Linked DNA regions of Canis lupus familiaris. The protein of the gene in region 2 purifies or fractionates together with the protein of the main gene of each other region. This does not show direct contact. Links are inferred from orthologs where the notes say so. Each region holds a gene or a part of one and is shown on either strand. Other genes may lie near its edges.

Evidence for each region.
Region 1: the proteins of RNA-binding E3 ubiquitin-protein ligase MEX3C (region 2) and MYCBP2 purify together in Homo sapiens (affinity purification with mass spectrometry; 3 studies listed by BioGRID and IntAct, with this or other methods). This does not show direct contact. The link is inferred for Canis lupus familiaris from reciprocal best matches to the Homo sapiens genes MEX3C and MYCBP2.
Region 3: the proteins of RNA-binding E3 ubiquitin-protein ligase MEX3C (region 2) and AP2B1 purify together in Homo sapiens (affinity purification with mass spectrometry; 4 studies listed by BioGRID and IntAct, with this or other methods). This does not show direct contact. The link is inferred for Canis lupus familiaris from reciprocal best matches to the Homo sapiens genes MEX3C and AP2B1.

Annotation. Positions count from the first base shown.
Region 1 is NC_049243.1:30,958,142-30,962,327, reverse strand, and holds the start of MYCBP2 (E3 ubiquitin-protein ligase MYCBP2), read left to right. Parts: upstream 1-1,307; 5' UTR 1,308-1,598; coding exon 1,599-1,900; intron 1,901-4,186. UniProt on the Homo sapiens protein: Atypical E3 ubiquitin-protein ligase which specifically mediates ubiquitination of threonine and serine residues on target proteins, instead of ubiquitinating lysine residues.
Region 2 is NC_049222.1:23,929,110-23,933,457, forward strand, and holds the start of RNA-binding E3 ubiquitin-protein ligase MEX3C, read left to right. Parts: upstream 1-1,516; 5' UTR 1,517-1,550; coding exon 1,551-1,713; intron 1,714-2,541; exon of another isoform or gene 2,542-2,560; intron 2,561-4,348. UniProt on the Homo sapiens protein: E3 ubiquitin ligase responsible for the post-transcriptional regulation of common HLA-A allotypes. Binds to the 3' UTR of HLA-A2 mRNA, and regulates its levels by promoting mRNA decay.
Region 3 is NC_049230.1:38,021,450-38,025,028, forward strand, and holds part of AP2B1 (AP-2 complex subunit beta), read right to left. Parts: intron 3,072-3,579; coding exon 2,826-3,071; intron 1-2,825. UniProt on the Homo sapiens protein: Component of the adaptor protein complex 2 (AP-2). Adaptor protein complexes function in protein transport via transport vesicles in different membrane traffic pathways.

The DNA.
Region 1 (4,186 bases), on a different chromosome or scaffold from region 2:
ATACAAGCAAGCGCATATGGGTTCTCTTGTGCTCGCTCTCAAATAAATAAATAAATAAATCTTTTTATTTTATTCATGATTTTATCTTACTTATTTTTTTTAGATTTTATTTATTCATGAGAGACACAGACTCAGGCCAAGGGAGAAGCAGGCTCCACGCTGGGAGCCCAAGGTGGGATTCGATCCCACCCTGGGCTGAAGGTGGCACTAAACCGCTGAGCCACTGGGGCTGCCTAATAAATCTTTTTAAAGAAAGTTAGTAAGTAGATAGAGAAAATACTACTGGGATGACAGGACGAGGAAACGATTTTTTTCAGGAGTATAAATTAGGCAAACTCTTCAAATTGAGAGTCAAGTAGAAAAACACTTAGGAATCAGGGTTTCTTGGCACATGCATTTCTAGAGCACCTACTTCTAAGGGGTTAGTAGAATGGCTTGGCACAAGGGACTCAGCATATGTTACATTTTAATAGATAAAAGGATAAGATCTTTGGTAGATAATGACATTTTCAGAAGTTGCACAGAGTCACAATTAACAGCGTCAGGTCATTTTCAAGAATTATCTCTAGTAATGTAAGTCTGGGCAGAAAAAGATAAGCCATTAAGTGGCCGCTGTCAAGAGGTAAGAGTGCACTCTAAGGGGTCAAGGTAATATGTAAGGAAAGTACTACTGCGTTAAGGTTTAGCTCTGATGTCAATGTTGAGAATAAGAATTTAGGAATGTGAATGATCTGTGAATTCTACTGTCTTATCTGTGAATTCTACTTTCAGAATGCACTAGCTTACTACCTGTTTTTCGAGGTAAAAACCATTTTAATCCTAATGATAAAAAATCCAAAATAAAATCACCAGAGAGATACTAATTTGGCTGGCCTTCTCTGCCTTTGATTCTAAAGTAACCAGCGCTGTTCCCAGTGCATCTTCACGCTGGCAGCACACATTTTGAGAAAAAGTAGCTGAAAAATGCATAACACTCATTTTCTGGCGGGGGGCCGGGGGCGGGGGGGGGGGGGACGACACACATTCCCTCTCAAAGGTCCAAGTTCTCTCACCTGGAGGGGAACCCCATTACCTGAAGCCAAGAGCCTGTAGCTGAGTCCTCTCAGCACTTTCCTTACTCTTCCTCAGGCTGCCAGTAAAACCCGGAGAAGCGGATTTCTTTCGGACTCGGCACAACTCAAACACCCCACACCCAAAGGCCTGAGGCGGAGGGAGTGGTGGCGAGGGGGGGAGGGGAGGGAGACGGGTTGGGGTTACTGAGCATGTGCGAGGAGTGGCGCATGCCCAGTGCGGCCGGCAGCTTCCCATTGCGGGTAGCCCCGGCGGTGGCGGCGGCGGCAGCGGCGGCAGCGGCGGCACCGCCTCCTCCTCACACTCCCGAGGTGGCGGGGTTAGATGAGCGGCCCCAGTAGCGGCGAGGGCGGCGCAGGGGGGAGAAGGAGAAGACGGAGGAGAAGGAGGAGGACGCTGTCTTTGTAGTCCCCTGCCGCGGGAGCGAGAGGCCGCCGCCGGAGCCGTCGTCGTCGGCAAAGGGCTGTGTGTGCGCGCGCGTGTCTGCTTGCCCGGCCCGCAGGGACGAGGCGGCGGCGGCGGCGAGGATGATGATGTGCTCGGCGACTGCCTCCCCCGCCGCCGCCTCCTCGGGGCCCGGCGGGGACGGCTTCTTCCCAGCCGTCACCTTCTCTTCCTCCCCGGCGCCGGGGGCGCTGTTCATGCCGGTTGCCGAGGGTTCCGTGGCTGCCGCGGGGCTGGGGCTGGGGCTGCCGGCCGCGGACTCCCGGGGTCACTACCAGCTGCTGCTGTCAGGCCGGGCCCTGGCCGACCGCTACCGGAGGATTTACACCGCTGCGCTCAGTGACAGGGACCAGGGGGGCAGCGGCGCCGGACACCCAGCCTCCAGGTGCGTCTCCGGTGGCCTTCTCGAGCCACACGCCGCATGTGTGTGCGTGCACGCGCGTGTATGCATGTAGAAGAGCTTGCATGTGTGCCTGCGTACCTGTTTACCGAGCGCTTGGCGCTTGGGTGCTGGAAGCACTTAACTGAGAGAGGAGGGTGCGGTGGCAACAATTTCTGCCCAGTGCGTGTGACTGTCTTTGTAGGGGGTCAGCGAGAGTGGGAGGGAGGTAAGCATGTGATGTTAGAAAAGGTGATGGTGCCGGTCGGTTATGACACGTGTGTGTGTGTGTGTGTGTGTGTGTGTGTGTATTGTTGAGGAAGGAGGAGGGAATTGGTAGAGGGCGAGAAGGCATTGCACGGAGAGAATTTCCAAGAGCGGTGAGGGAAGTGGCGTTTCCAGTATCTCTGCCGCAATGGTATTTGCACGTATCTTATCCCTCGCCCTCTTCCCCCTCCCCCCCCCCCCCCCCCCGCCAAGATATTCCATCCTCCACTTTCCACCTCCCTTAAAAAAAAAAAAATCTGCCTTTCACTAAGGGGAGCAATGGTATAGGTTAAGGGTAGTGTCACATATATATATATACATATATATATATATATATACATGTATATATATATAGTTTTAGATAATCATGCTGTTGGATAAAGCATGGAGTTTTAAAGAGATTTATGCAAAGGAGATGGAGATGGAGATTTATGTGGATGTGAAAGGTGCCTGATGGAGATTTTTAGAGCTGTACTTTGATATCTGGACCTTTTGGTATTCTGGAGATGTGATTGCAGCTGCACTTGTGTTCTGACGTCCTATCAGCCATTTCCCTTTATCTTCTGTTCACTTATAGGCTTTAGGGTATTGGGGGCCTAGGGGTTTTGTGGGGAAAGGGGGAAAGCTATAGAACTTCGAAATATGACTGCTTATACAGTGTTTAGCTGCCACCAACTAGAAAATTTGAGTAGCTCCTACATCTCTTCCTAGGCTCCCTGCATGTTCATCTTTCTTGATGTAGATTTTAAGTCACTTTCATTTTCTTTTTCTTAAAATGTGGGTGTCTTTTTGCTGAGGGCTGTCCTATTGTTTTCTTTTCCATGTCCTCATATGCCACATACCCTGAAGGATGATGACTGACTTGTTTCACCAGCTTGGCTTTGACAGTGGTAATTGGGAGTTGGCTTCATCTTTTTTTTTTTTTTTCCTCACAGCTTCTTGCAACACATGGGGAAAGCATAGTAGTATTTTGTCAAATAAGCTACAGAGCTTACTGTATTTATTGAATGTGCAGTGTCTTAGGCAATAACAAGATGTCCTTTCATTATGAAAGGGACTAGGCTGTTAAGTCAGGTATTTGTAGTTTACCATTGTGTACTAGGGCTCTTATCTATTGCAGAATTGTGAAGATGGAGCTTTGTTCACATTTTTTCTGGGTAAATCAGTCTTCTCATGTCTGTAATTGTTTACAGGATTGAGCAGTTTATCTTATGGATATAAACGTATGTAACTACCTTTTGCTATCTAAACTGAAAACCACAATGACACAAATGTATTTCTTGATCATATTTTTGAAAACAGCACAAAACCTCAATGGACAGTTTGCTCTGATAGGTATAATTTTGAGCTTTGAGTCTGAATTATGTCACTCTAGGTACATTTTTACAAACCTCTCTCAAAGAATTTATTTTGTATGTTGTTCCAGACTTCTAATTTGTGACTGAAATTCCTATTTTAACTTTCTACTAGTATACTTGTGTAATAATACAATTTTGTGTATCTAGAACCATATTAGCAGTTTTAGACAAAATTAATAGAGATTAATTGCATATATGACATTTATTAGTGATTTTTGATCATTGATCCATTTTTGTACAAACTGTCAATTACAATTAATGGAAGAATTAGTTGAAATATTTCAAAAAGTAGTCATGGAAACCAGGCTTAAGTTGTGTAATATTGCCTTCTAGTGCTTATTCAGAACATTATTGCTTATTTTAGTTCACATTATTTTATCTAAGTGAGCTGCTTAATCCTTTATTGAGGATTTGCATAAGAATTCAATCACATTTTTGTTAAATATGACTGGGCAAGTGGAACTAGGATTTAGGTTGTGAATGAATGGTATAATTATTTGAATAGGGACACTAGAAGATGAAATATTTCAGAGACATAGAATGGAGCAAGAACAGAGTATGAAGCCCTAGTGAGCTTCAAATTTAAAGATGTGAGAGAAAAAAAATAAAGGATGTGAGAGAAAGGAGACAGTGAAGAAAGCTGAAAAGATGAAAAAATTAAGACAGC
Region 2 (4,348 bases):
GAGACGTCGGGAAGCAGCAGGTCTGGCTCCTAAGGGGCCGCGGAACAATGCACCTGCAGAGGAGACCCCGCGTGGGGTGGCCTGGGCCACACTGGGGAAGAGCGCGTCGCAGGAGGAAACGGCTTAACTTTCTTGAAAAGCCCCAAAGAAGTCGGGTGGAGCTCGAGGGCCCCGCGGCACCTGGGCGGGGCTGGAGGCCGGGTCGGCGGGCGGGGGAGGGCCCGGCCCCGCGGGAGCAGCGCCCCGGGCCGCCCAGGAGGACCCCGCCCCTCGCTCCTCCGAGGACTGTCCCCGGGCCCCGGCCCCCGAACGACGGGACCGCGCCCTCGGCGCCCGCGCTGCACCCCGAGGCTGCCCGCACCGAGGCCGAGCCGGACCCGCGGGGAGGCGGGGACGCCCAGGTGCACGCCGCCGCCGCCGCCGCTCGCGCGTGCGCAGACGCGCTCTCCGCGCAGCCCGGCCTTCAGCGGCTACCGCGCCTTCCTCCGCCCGCTTTTCCCCGCCCCCAGACGCCGCGTCACAAAGACTGACGTGCGGAGCGGACAATCACGGCCCCTGTCGGCGGGAGGGGAGCGGACGGAAGGGGAAGGCAGCGGGCCCGGCCCGGCCCGGCCGCCCAATCAGCGAGCTCCGGGAGCGGCGGGGCGGGGCCCGAGGCGCGGGCGGGGGCGGGGCCGCGGAGGGGGCGGGCTCCGGGGGCGGGCGCAGCCAATCGGAGCGCGCCGGCCCCGCTGGGAGCGCGGCGTGGGGCGTGGGGCGTGGCCGCCGCGGCGCGCGCCGGGGGCTGGCCGAGGCCATGGAACAAAAGAAGCCCTGAGAGGGGAGCCGCGCCGCCGCCGCGTCCCCACCCACCGCCGGGACCTGCCTGGCCCGCGGCTCGGCCGCACCCCGCCGTCTGCAGGCTCCGGGCGGCCCTGGCGCGCCGCGGCCCCGGGGTCCGCCCCGCCGCCCGCCGCCCGCCCCGCCGCCAGCGCGCCCGCCATGGGCCCCGCCGCCCGCCGCGCCTGACCGCCGCCCGCGCGCCGCCATGCCGAGCGGCAGCTCCGCGGCCCTGGCGCCCCTGCCCCCGCCCGCCGCGCCCGAGCCCGCGCCCGCGCCCGCGCCCGAGCCCGCGCCCGCGCCCGAGCCCGAGCCCGCCGGGGCCGCGCCGCTGCTGCGGGGGCGCCTGGCCGCGCTAGGCCTCGACGACCCCGGCCCCGCCGAGCCCGGCAGCGCCGCCCCGGCCGCGGAGGAGCGCGCCCCGCCCCGCAGGCCCGGGGCCCCGGAGGCCGCGCTGGACCGGGACGCGGACGGGGCCGGGGACGCGGACGGGGCCGGGCAGCGGGGGCCGGGGCCGGGGCCGGGGCGGGCGGGGGCCGGACGCCGACGAGCCCGACGACGCCGACGAGCCCCGGCCGCCGCTGCTGCTGCTGTCGCCGCCCGCCGCCCCGCACTCGCCGCCGCCGCCGCCGCTGCCGGGCGGGCCCCTGGGGCCGGTGCTGCTGCCCGCCGCCGGCTTCGACGCCCGGGACGCGGCGGGGGCGCTGTACGGGGACGCGGCCGCCCCGGCCATGATGGCGGCCGTGCTGTCCCACGCCTACGGGCCCGGCGGCTGCGGCGCGGCGGCCCTCAACGGGGAGCAGGCGGCCCTGCTGCGGAGGAAGAGCGTCAACACCACCGAGTGCGTCCCGGTGCCCAGCTCCGAGCACGTCGCCGAGATCGTCGGGCGCCAGGGTGAGTGCCGCGGGGGCGCGGGCGGCGGTGCTGCGGGGCAGCTCGGGGGCAGCTCGGGTCACCCCCGGGGGCAGCCCGGGTCACCCCCGAGGCAGCCCGGATCACCGTGCGGGGCAGCTCGGGTCACCGTGCGGGGCAGCGCGGGGGCAGCCCGGGTTACCCTGCGGGAGCCCCGCGCATCCCGCCCGGCGGTACCCGGGCCGCGCATCCCGGGCCAGGCGGGGCCGGCGCCCCGGGGGCAGGAGGTGGCGCGGCCCGCCCTGCAGCGGGGGTGGATGCTGCGGCCGCGCAGGTGCGCCCCGGGGCACGCGGCCTCCCGCCCTCCGCGCCCTCCGCGCCCCCGACGCCGGGACAGCGGCCGGCACCGTAACGGAGCCGAGCCTCCGGGCGCGCTCACTCGGCCTCGGCGAATCCTCGGCGCTGCGCGCAGACTCCTCCCACGTGGTCCAGACAAAGGAGCTGTGTCTGGGGCTCCCGGAGCGGCTGTGCGGTGTGCGCGGGGGCAGGCCCTGTGCCCCGCGCCCGACCCCAGGGCCGGGCGGAGAGCAGCCCCCACGGGCAGGTGCGGGGCTCTCGGGGCGAGTGGGGCCGCGACGGCGCTGCCGCGGGGGTGACCTCCTCCGCCCCCCCCCCCCCCCCCCCAGCGGTGTAAGTGCAGGGCGGGCAGCGAGAGGCCTGTGGGCGCGCTGGGGCCGCGCATCGCCGTGCGTTCCGTGCTCCCCTCTGGGATCTTAATACGAAAACCCCGTCTGCACTCTGGGTAAAGGACGCGGACTGCCGAGGACTGCTGCTCCAGGCACCCCGCGAAGCTGGGACCCTTCCACCGACCGTTTATTCCGGTAGTTTGGTAAAGAAGACTCAGATGCCTTGCTTTTTGTTTGTTTTATTTGGGCCGGTTTGGGGAGGGGGGAGGGTGTTTTTGCGATGCCTGAGATCCTACTGATCCAGGAGAGCGCTGTTTCACCGTACGGGGGATGAAACCTACCGCCCCCACCTACAAGTCCAGGATGAGTTGGCCATTCGATTAAGAGCATTAAGGAATTGATAGGTTTCAAGCTTCTATTTTGCCAGGTGTTGAGTTTATGGGAGTTGGAAATGTGAGGTCGATTCACACAAACTTGCTGCCCTTAAGAAACCAAAGTTTAATCCAACTAACGTGCGGTTAATGGCACTCTGTGTAGTAGGTGACAGCCCTACCTGTGAGGACACCGACCCTGCAGGGACTTTAACAAATGGAGACAAAGAATGACCTGGGAACAATGTGAGGATTACTCTCTAGCTCTAATTAGAAAGTGGGGTTTTATTTATTTATTTATTTATTTAGGCGCTTGGAGTCTTCGAAGGGGTGTGGTGGAAAGGGGCTGGGAATGTGTGCGTTCAGGCTTGAGTATGAAAGACCCTTAATGCTACACTAGGAGGGCACTTCCTCGGCACAGGTTGCTTGTGGTGCCAGTTGATGGTAACAAAAGAAAAGAACATTGACTTCAGTTTGCCTGAGGGACAAGATAATGAAATCTTTTGTATATTTAGTTTAACACAAACTTTTGTCCTTATCTGTATCGTACTCTTAAAAGCATGAAAAAATGGACCCCATTTACACAAACTGTTGTCTTTTTATACAAATGCATTATTTAAACTGAATTCATTCTGAGTTTTTATTTTGTACAAGCTATTAAAATAATATTTTGTAATCTATTTAATAGCAAATGAGATAAAGTCTTTAGTTTTTCTGTGCTTATTGGGCTGTACTTACTGGTTAATAAGGAAATGTGGTTCTATTTATGTCTTAGGACATGTAGACAAATTGCTGACTACTCCTCTTACACTTAATGTTTCCTAGAGTTGACAGTACTGTTAAAAGCATGTCATCATCTTCTACCTTCTCTTAAGACCAGAAAGTCTTAACACCCCTTTTCCTACCTCTAGTGGGATCATTGACCCCTTTGCTACCTCTACCCCTCAGCAGCAAGCACCATAATAAAATCTGTAAAGGGCTTTCCCACTCCTATGGAGAACAAGGCAACTCACCACGTTTGCACCCTTTTGTTTTTTGTTTTTAAAGATTTTATATATTTATTTGAGGGAGAGAGCGCCTGCACAAGTGGGGAGGGGCAAAGGGGAAGGAGGAAGAAATCGGGAGCGGACTGCACACTGGGCGTGGAGCCCAATGTGGGGCTCAGTCCCTCGACCACAAGATCGTGACCTGAGCTGAAACCAAGAATCTGATGTGTAACTGACTGAGCCACCCAGGCACCCCTGCATTCTTCTAAAGTGTAATGGTTTGTCTTTTCTCTAAGTGAATAAACAAAGCAAATCATTCAATTTACTTGTCTGCTTTGGGTGAACTAAATGTTCATTCTAAACAATTACCCGTTCTTGCCATTTTATTCATTACCTGAAGTCATAATTTTCTGTTTGCCATCTCTTAATTGGCTTTGGAAATAATTATGACACAGATGGAGACATTTCTGACTTCAGCTCTGAAGCAAAGGGTAGGACAAATGGAATTCTGAGTCATATAGGCTAGAACTCATGTAGATGGCCTCTGGTTCCAGTGTCTTTCAAAAAAAAACAAACCACTTCTTTTGATAGTGTTGAAAGTTGGCAGTGTTGACCTCATACTTGTACTCCCCAG
Region 3 (3,579 bases), on a different chromosome or scaffold from region 2:
ATAAAGACAGTAAAATAAGTCATTCCTGAAAGTTTCTCAAAATCTACCAAGTAATCTTAAATTTTCTCTAAAGCTTTCTCAAAGATAATTGTGAAAATCTCTCCAAATCACCTCCTGATTTGTAAAAACAGGTTAAGAAATTTTAAGAGTATTATAGTTTATTATAGTGTTTTATTACATTCAAAGAGACCCATTGATGTGTTGCCTGTTTAAATCACATATGTGTAAGTATGAAACGGGGGACAACAGATGATGATAAATGGGCTCATTTTATTTATCTATTGTTTTCATTTAGTCACTCTAAGTTTGAATACGTTTGAAAATTCCAATAATAAAAAGTAAACATATGTATAAACACATATATTACTTGAGAATATGGTGGGCTGGACAAAAACCAGTCCTTCCTCCACAATAAAAACTTAAAATAGGTCAAATTAGGCTTGTTCCAGAATCCTTCCATCCTCTCAACTGGACAAAAATCTAAGCGCTTGGGTACCAAACGAACAAAAATTCTTTATTAAACCATCAGTTAGCCCCTATCCCTGACCATCTAATTTTACAGGTTCTATTTCAAGAAATTTACATTATTGCAAAGATGCCTTTTTCTCCCTAAACTGGAAATACCTATATGAGTTATAATTCATTTTCACCTCACTCCACTGCACATTGTTAGCCCCACTGGGTATTTAACAAGTTTCCATGGATTGCATGATATCCTGTTTATTTGGAAGCCTGAAACCTGGAGCATGGAGCCCAAACACTTATTATCTTCTCATTTGTCCTCAAGTAGAAAATTTCAAAGACAGTGGCTCAGGGTAAGAGTGACTCAAAAGCAACACCAAAACACAACTTGGGACCAGCTAAACATTCTATAAAATAGATACTAATGCCTTGTATCTTTCCTTATGGAATTAAAAAAAAAAAAAAAAAGTGCCACATGGTCTTACTCGAGGGAAAAAAAGAAAGGTTGAATCTTCTAATGCTGGTGGTGATACCTATCAGAAGTCATGGTTTAAGCACATATATACCTGCACCAGCTTCTGTGCCTGGAAGGTGGCTACAAGATTTTTTTTTTTTAAGATTTTTATTTATTTATTCATGAGAGACACAGAGGGAAAGAGAGGCAGAGACACAGGCAGAAAGAGAAGCAGGCTTCATGCAGGGAGCCCGATGCAGGACTCCATCCCCGGACTCCAGGATCACACCCTGGGCCAAAGGCAGGTGCTCAACCGCTGAGCCACCCAGGCATCCCATGGCTAAAAGATTCCTAATGATAGGTACTACAGTACCTTAAAACAAAACAAAACAAAACGTGGTTTTCTTCATCCCTTGACCTTGATGCTAAACTTGAAAGATAATAAAAGCCAAGGCTATTCAAAGAATAAGATGAACCAGATGAAATATTAAAGCAGAGATCTGAGCACATGATTTGCAAGTAAGAGACAATGTCTATTTCAAGGCAAATTCCAACTCTATTTCAAAAAGTTCAACAACAAAGAAAGCATTCAGAGGTTATCCAGTGATTAACTCAAAGTTATTCACCTCCAAGTAAATAGTGCATTAGGCAAAAAGGGGAGGCCTTATTCCTCCATCTTCTCAATAATGGCACCTAGTCATCAATCACTCCATTCAAATGAGCTCCAGTTACTAGCAGAGTCAACATACCACTTGGGACTTTCTCCCCTTCATTATATGGACAAAGTTAAAAATATTAGTAAGAGAAATAAAAGGTCCTCAAACTTTAAAGTGTTATGTTCTAGCTGCCAAACACTTAGAATATTAATTGTCAAAAAGAATTTTGTCTTAGAATTTTCCTGTATAAGAATGCATTACAATAATTAGGCAATAAATAAAACTTTGTTTCTACTCCCACACCAGAAAAGACCACAAACGTCTGAAGAAATAATCTTTAAAAAAACTGATATAGGGACGTCTGTGTGGGTCAGCGGTTGAGCATCTGCCTTCGGTTCAGGATGTGATCCTGGGGTCCTAGGATACAGTTCTGCATCAGGCTCCCTGCAGGGAGTCTGTTTCTCCTCTGCCGATGTTTCTGCCTCTCTCTGTGTGTCTCTCATGAATGAATAAAAAAAAATATATATATATATATATACATCTATATATAGATATATATAAATTTAAGGTAAAACTCAAAAAATTATTAAAGAGCCAAGGTTTCTGAGCAAACACAGGGGTAGGTATGATACAAAGGTTTGCTTTAAGACCCCTGTATTTTAGTAGCACTTGGTTTTCACTTGAGAAAACAACTAATGTGTGAGACATAATCTGAGGGACACACAGAATTCATGTTTCTCATAGCTAATCTGTTTCAATATCCCAGAGACAAGATTTGTTTTAAATATGCTTTTTAGGGGATCCCTGGGTGGCTCAGCGGTTTGGTGCCTGCCTTTGGCCCAGGGCATGATCCTGGAGTCCCAGGATCGAGTCTTGCGTCGGGCTCCCGGCATGGAGCCTGCTTCCCCCTCTGCCTGTGTCTCTGCCTCTCTGTCTATCATGAATAAATAAATAAATAAATCTTTAAAAATTTTTAAAATAAAAATAAACATGCTTTTTAGGAAAGCCTCGGTGGCTCAGAGGTTTAGCGCTATCTTCGGCCCAGGGCGTGATCTTGGAGACCCAGGATGGAGTCCCATATTGGGCTTCCTGCATGGAGTCTGCTTCTCTCTCTTGCCTGTGTCTCTGCCTCTGTCTCTCTCTGTGTCTCTCATGAATAAATAAATAAATAATCTTAAAAAAAATAAAATAAACATTCTTTTTAAAGGGATGCATTTTAAGTACTGCTCTCTATAAAAGCAGAAGCTTATTACCATTGGATTTGAATCTGCTATGAGATCCCGCAGAGAATCCAGAAATCCCTGATCTTCCACCATTTGGGCATTGATATCATGGAGTTTTGCCACACAAACTGCTGCTGTTTTCCGAACATAGGGATCTTCATCCTTCAAGCACTTGCGTAGAGGCTCACAGAGATATTCTGTAATCTTGTCCACCCGGATGCACCCCATGGTCCTGACTGCCAAGGCCCGAATTAGAGGATTGGGATCTTCACAATCCTAAAAAGAAAGAGAAAGAGAGAAAGAAAGAGAAAGAGAGAGAGAGAGGAGAGAAAAAAGAAAAAGAGGAAGAGGAAGAAGAAAAAAAGAAAAAAATCATTGACAACTACAGGTATACATGGTGACTAAAAAGTAAACAGTCTAGTTTATACAAGCCTCAGAAGAACATTTCCTTTATGTAAGCTTCCAGTTACACTCTGTATCAGACACTAATCCCCCATACTATTGTTTCCTAAGTACAAATCTTAATTGCCTATTTAAGAGCTTAGGTTAGGAATTCATTTAACTATTTTACAAACACAATGAAGAAATGCCCAGTAGTATTCATTCCAGGGTGAGGCAGAAGTCAACTGGTATTACCATCACCATGGCTGTTACTGTATGTGCCTTAACAACAGGAAAAAAATGAGGAATTGGAAAAACGTGTACCACTCCCGAGTCAGTCTGCAAATATCCCCAACCCTGCACATGCATTCACTTTCTTGCTCTCTCAAATGAATAAATCTTA